Linked DNA regions of Bombyx mori. The protein of the gene in region 1 interacts with the protein of each later gene in a pairwise test. Links are inferred from orthologs where the notes say so. Each region holds a gene or a part of one and is shown in the gene's direction. Other genes may lie near its edges.

Evidence for each region.
Region 2: the proteins of MAGUK p55 subfamily member 7 (region 1) and protein lin-7 homolog C interact in a two-hybrid assay, tested with the Drosophila melanogaster proteins (2 studies listed by BioGRID). The link is inferred for Bombyx mori from reciprocal best matches to the Drosophila melanogaster genes metro and veli.

The regions. Positions count from the first base shown.
Region 1 is NC_085107.1:10,946,300-10,949,816, forward strand, and holds part of MAGUK p55 subfamily member 7, read left to right. Parts: intron 1-76; coding exon 77-394; intron 395-1,084; coding exon 1,085-1,255; intron 1,256-2,312; coding exon 2,313-2,485; intron 2,486-3,517.
Region 2 is NC_085116.1:14,601,506-14,605,107, reverse strand, and holds protein lin-7 homolog C, read left to right. Parts: upstream 1-1,231; 5' UTR 1,232-2,002; coding exon 2,003-2,599; 3' UTR 2,600-3,098; downstream 3,099-3,602.

The DNA.
Region 1 (3,517 bases):
TTCTTTGAAATTTCATCCTACCCTCACTTTTTGCGGTCTACAAGAAAAGCTTGATCTGTTGTTGCGGTGTTTTTAGGTAAGCCCGCCCTTTGTAGTCCGTCTGCGTCCAGTTCTGACTGTGCCCCGAAAACGCCATGTTCACCGACGCCGACGGCCACAGCGCTCCTGCCCTGCAAGTCGATTCCGAAAGTCAAGAAGATCATATACGACATAACGGAGAACGACGATTTCGATAGAGAATTGATACCGACGTACGAGGAGGTCGCCCGGCTGTACCCGAGGCCGGGTCTGGTACGCCCGATCGTGTTGATCGGAGCGCCCGGCGTCGGCAGAAACGAACTGAGACGGAGGCTCGTCGCTACGGACCCGGAGAAGTACATCACTCCGATACCGTGTAAGTTTTTATTTTTTATTGCTTAAGATGGGTGGACGAGCTCACAGCCCACCTGTTGTTAAGTGGTTACTGGAGCCCATAGACAGCTACAGCGTAAATGCGCCACCCACCTTGAGACATAAGTTCTAAGGTCTCAGTATAGTTACAATGGCTCCCACCCTTCAAACCGAAACGCATTACTGCTTCACGACAGAAATAGGCGGGGTGGTGGTACGAACAATATTATTATCAAATTTACTTTAAAAAAAACATCTATACTGATATTATTATCATAAATGTCATAAATCATAAACTAAAAAAATCATATCCTTCGTGCATTTGTATGTTCGGTACTCGGCCACGCAAATGTCTGAAAAAAGTTAAATGAAATCTATACTTTAATCTATAAATCTACAATGGTTTTTACGGATGTTCCGTTATAACTATTGAACAGTGCATCCGATTGATTTGAAACTTGGTTTCCATGTAGAAAATACATGTACTTAATGAATAGGCTAATATTTATATGAGTGTTGGACTCCCTAATAATAATGACAATAAATAATAATGTTAATTTTAAATACCCAGCGAAGCGGGCGAGTACGGCTAGTTTATGGACCAGTATCCAGACTAAGGCGCGCTAATAAATTCATAAAAGAAATCTTTGTTCACGAGATTTGCTAATCTGTAAATAAATTTTAAACATTACAGATACGTCGCGTCCTATAAAATCAAGCGAACAGAATGGTAAAGATTACGTGTTCGTAACTCGGGAAAAAATGGAACAGGATATAACCGATGGGAAATTCATAGAGCATGGTGAATACAAGGGCAATCTTTATGGGACCGCTGCCGAAAGCGTCGAGACTATTATTAATACTGGTAAAAAAAAACTTGATAAATTAATAATATACTTGCTGTGAAATAAGCATTTTTTGTTTAAATTTATAAATATTAATTTGCATTTATGCATGTTCATGTTTAAGTATAGTTAACCAGCAATGCACAGCGAATGCTTCTAGCGGTCATTCACCTGCGTCGCACAAGCTTGTAGTTTCCGCTCGTTAGCTGATTATTTATATAAATATATCGTCTTACATTACGTACACTGCATGAATCATTAGTTTAATACAAAATTTATCATTGGATTTTTTAATGTGTTCGAGGATTTGTCAGCCAGCCAATTTTGACATCTGGTAACATGTAGCTGCTTTTTTAATCTAATCTTATTTCTCGTTTACTTTTTGGAATTTTTTTTTTATTGCTTATATGGGCGGACGATCTCACAGCCCACCTGGTGTTAAGTGGTTACTGGAGCCCATAGACATCTACAACGTCACCTCATGTGAGACTGCACGGGTGTGGTACCTACCCGTGCGGTCTCACATGAGGTCCTACCACCAGTAAGAAGATGATGATGACTTTTATTCACATACACATAAAAATAAAACACGTGCTACGTATTGAATGAAGGAAATCGATATAGATTTTTTTAATGCTTAGATGGGTGGAAATATTGATCTGGTAATGAAGACCTTTAAGTCATGTCTTATTTTAATTTATATTCTTATTTTTATGAAAAATTATATTATGAAATGGAATAAATGAAATCAGATGAGATGATATGGGATGAAATATAATCTCAGTAAAATGGTGGTCATTTACGGAGATTTTTTCAGTGGACTTTTTGGAGGATCCCGAGAAGCTACGTTCAGCGGCTTTGTTTCATTTTCCCACATTTGTGCACTTTCAGAGATATTAAACAGTTAAATAAACCACCGTTATTACACATTTAAACCTGAAGAAACACTAAATAGACAAAACAAAACAAATCACACAATTACACTCCTCGCGTTTCCGCCAAAAAGTCCAAATATAACTTCGATAAATTAATTAGGAAGTACCCTCGTGAACTTATTCTGGAAATTGTTCTCTTCAGGTCGTGTGTGTGTGTTGAGTCCGCATTGGCAGGCCCTAAAGATGCTTCGAACTCCGCGCCTGCGTCCCTACATCGTGTTCATTAAGCCTCCGTCCTTGGAGAGGATGGTCGAAACGCGGACTGCGGCAAACGCGCGTTCCACATTCGATAAGGAATCATCCAGAGCATTCACGGTATGTGACGCTAATAACAGACGCATGTATAGTCCTAATTCAAACATTTATATGTAATTGCAAACTAAAAATAAAGAAAAATATACCCTACAGCATATAGTATGTAAATTGATGGTTAGCAAAGATATTGTCGACGACTTAGTTTAAATCATAATAATAATACCTTTATTTTCCGAACATTTTACATTTTAAACTAACAATTTCAAGTAGACTAAAAAAAACGGAAAAAAGCAATATATTATATGAAAACAAAATATAAGATTAAAATCTACACTTCCACTATAAAATGTCTCGTGTCGGTGTGCCTCTGCCAAGGCTTCCTCCAACTCTTTCCACTGCTTTCTGTCTCTTGCTACTCTTATCCAAAGGGGTCCAGTGGTAATTTTTAGTTCATCCTCCCATCTTCTTGGTTTGCGACCTCGGCTTCTCACACCATCCTCATCCTTCTCACACCTCGGGTACCATACTGTCACCTGTACGCTCCATTTTTCCTTTTTGCAGCAGACCATACATATTAATATGATCTATCGATTAAATTTTTTAATTATACAATCATGCAAAAATATGCTTTATTTCTTTGCGTGTCCCCGTCTGCAATACCGTCGAGATATGAGTTCTAAGGTCTCAGTATAGTTACAACGGCTGCTCCACCCTTCAAACCGAAACGACTTACTGCTTCACGGCAAAAATAGGCAGGGTGGGTGGTACCTACCGGTGCGGACTCACAAGAGGTCCTACCACCAATAATTACGCGCATTATAATTTTGCGGGTTTGATTTTTATTACATTTTTTTTTATTGCTTAAGATGGATGGACGAGCTCACAGCCCACCTAGTTACTGGAGTCCATAGACATCTACAACGTAAATGCGCCACCCACCTTGAGATATAAGTTCTAAGATCTCAGTATAGTTACAACTGTTATATATAGTTATTATTCCTTCACCGTGGAAGTCAATCGTGAACATTTGTTAAGTACGTATTTCATTAGAAAAATTGGTACCCGCCTGTGATTCGAACACCGGTGCATCGC
Region 2 (3,602 bases), on another chromosome or scaffold:
CAACCTCAGGCAACACACCTCACAAGTTCCTTAGTTGTATTATGGTGTTTAAGGTAGAATTTAACCTATCAAAATTCTCTTTTATATTTTTTTTATTGCTCTTGTAGAACGATGTATACGTACCACGAAGATGGCGATGGACATAAGCAATACCAGGGGCAGAGCCAAGCCACAATAGCATTGATGGAAAGTTAACCTTAAATTGCAATTGATGGAAATGAATGACTTGAATTCATAGTGTGTAACCACCTTTTAAAACTATTTGTAAGTCTCACTTGCATTGAAATAATCACTTTTCCATTATTTTAGCCAGAATTCATAATGTCAGAATTCAATAGGATATACAAAGCTGTACGAGCTATTTTATTTACACATTCTGAATCTCAATTAAGCCTTGTTTTCATTGATTTAAAACGAAGCCACATGACTTAATAGATGATCATTGTCAATAGTGACTATTGTCAATAATGTACAACAGCAGTTTTAGTAACAGCTCTATGTAAAAAGATTGTTTATCAAAAGAAAGTGTCTTACTACTTATGAAACACTGTTTTCATAAGTTAATTCCAAAACTAGGTATAGTAGGTACCTACGTATCTTTAATGATTTCAATAAAACTCATCAGCTGTTTCGTCACTTGACACAATTGTTGTTTAAGAAAGCAATCATAATCAGGAGGAATAATTTACTTAGAGCTTATACATGCTAAAACCTTGAATTACCGAAGAAACTTTAAGCATTATCAATTAAATAATTAACTTATGACCCAAATGACAGTGATAAACTTTATCAAACGAAAGTAAACATGTCAAGTATATTATAATGTACCATGTAAATTCACTAGAAGATTCGGCAAGGAATCAAATGCAAATTCAAAGTTATTTTTAGGAGAACACGTCATAGGGCATTCAATTTGGAGTACACAAACAGGTTATGATAACATGAACTCACCTAGGTCATCCATATTTTCTTCAGACTTAAGATTAAGTTTTTCACTACACTAACACAAATAACAAATGGCACAGTTGCACAGCTAAATATGTATAAATGAGCAAGAAATTACTTGTTAATACTGTTCGTGGATAGACGAATCAAACATGTTTTTATTGAATTGTAAATAATAAAATTCTTAGTCGCTATATAATTGACAACTGACATTTTGACATTTTTCCGTTTCATGTTCTGTTTTAGTTTTATCCAATTTTATAGGTAAAGGAAAGGAAAAGAAAACCGATGGTTGGGCTGCAATAAGTTAGTGGGTGCCAGGTTTCATGAGCGGACACTGATGGAGCATCAGTAGTAATTATATGATGAATTTGACTTTTTAAACTTATCATGGAACACTTGATGTGATTCAAGTCCAAAACTTCACAAACTAATTTGAGTAAAAGTGACTTTATTGTTAACTCTCTCATATTCCTATTTCCCTGGCAGTTAAACAGAATTGTTTGAGATGAAGAGTAAGCCTACTTTCCAATCTCGGATAGTACTAACATCCTGCGGAGGAATTCGGTACCCACTTGAAAATAAGTTGGTCGTGAGTTCTTTAACCTGTCTATACAATTTAAAAATTATATAAGTTGAAAACCGTTTAATCTTGGCTGTCTTGGTAAGTGCAGTGATGTTTTTTGTGGAAGGCATATGTTCATCAAGTATAACAGATACCTAGTTATCGTCAGTCATTCTCTTATTTGTGTATCTCAGTGATAATTTCTGTCCGTTATTGTACAGATTTTTTGAACATACAATCCAATCCCCAGAAATATCCTACACACTTAAAAATATAGTCCAATCCTTTTATTTCTTAACACCATAGATACCTAGTACTCTTCTTATTTTTTTAAGTGTATCATCTATATTTTACTCTTTGAATTCAATTGATTTGATTTAGTCACTGAATCACTGATTTCTACATAAATTTATTATTCTCTAAAAGTATATTTCGTGTTAATTTATACTCACAATTTTGTGTATACTACTTTAGTTTCAAAAAGTGTTCAAAATGACTACCACTGGCGAACAGTTAACGTTAGCTAGGGATATAAAACGTGCCATTGAATTACTCGAGAAACTGCAACAGAGTGGCGAAGTCCCTGCAACGAAATTAGCTGCTCTCCAGAAAGTTTTGCAGAGCGACTTTCTAAATGCCGTAAGAGAGGTTTACGAGCACGTCTACGAGACTGTAGACATACAAGGCTCCGCAGACATAAGAGCTTCCGCAACTGCAAAGGCAACGGTGGCCGCATTTGCTGCTGCAGAAGGACACGCTCACCCTCGAGTAGTGGAACTGCCGAAAACTGAGGAAGGCTTAGGGTTCAACGTAATGGGCGGAAAAGAACAAAATTCTCCGATTTATATATCTAGGATAATACCGGGCGGAGTTGCTGACAGACATGGTGGCTTGAAGAGGGGTGATCAACTTTTATCCGTTAACGGAGTCTCAGTTGAAGGCGAGAATCACGAGAAAGCCGTAGAACTTCTGAAGCAAGCCGTGGGATCCGTAAAATTAGTTGTCAGGTACACACCAAAGGTCTTGGAGGAAATGGAGATGAGATTCGACAAGCAAAGAACTACACGGCGACGCCAAAACTACAACTAAAATTTTTCACCGGCTTTGCAGTCATTTATCAAACAAAGTGTATTAATGTACCTGTTATTTTTATCCTATGTTTTAATGAGGAACTTTGATAATCTTTAAGGCATTGTAAAACTTTATTTAATTTTATAAAAACCTATATTACTTTTACACCCAATCAGTTGGCAGTTGGAGACCATGGCTATTAAAAATTGGGAACTATTCAAGTATTGAAAAATATTCAATCTGCTATTTATTTATATATTAAATGAAAACTTTGTTAGTGTGAATTTAATTATAAAGTTTTCTTCTATTTAAATCTAAACGGTGTTTTAAAGAAATTTCCTTTTATTTACACATGTTTAAAATACTTAACAATTAATTACTAATTAAAATACTTAAATAAACGAAATGAATGTATTGTAGATGTATTATAAGTTTTTGCACATGTTATGAATGTTTATTGTATGTACTTAATTTAGTTTTTAAGTTAATATTAAAATATAATTGAGGCTGTACCAGATTTATTGTCAACAATTGTGATTTCTACAAATGTAGTCAACCTCAATAATCATAGAAGTGCCCTCGACAGAACAATTAAAGAAAAGAAAGTATTTATGACTCAAACTGAATAGATGTACAAACAGATTGTAACTGCACCTTGTTAATTACCACTATTCTGTCTATTTCTACCATGAGTAAATTATTACTTAGATTTATGGATGAGCTCTCGGCCCACCTTGTTTTATGTGGCTACTGGAGCCTGTAGACATTTACGTCTCACTTTTAACAGTATAACAGCTGCCCCATCATACAAACCGAAATGCATTAATGCTTGACAGTAACAACAGGCAGGGTGGTGGTACCTACCTGTGCAGACTTACAAGACGTCTTACCACCAGTGATTATGTAAATTATAATTTTGCAGGTTTGATTCTTATTACACGATGCTATTACTTCACTGTGGAAGTCAATCGTGAACATTTGTTAAGTACCTATTTTAGCGGCATCTGCTTGTGGGATTCAA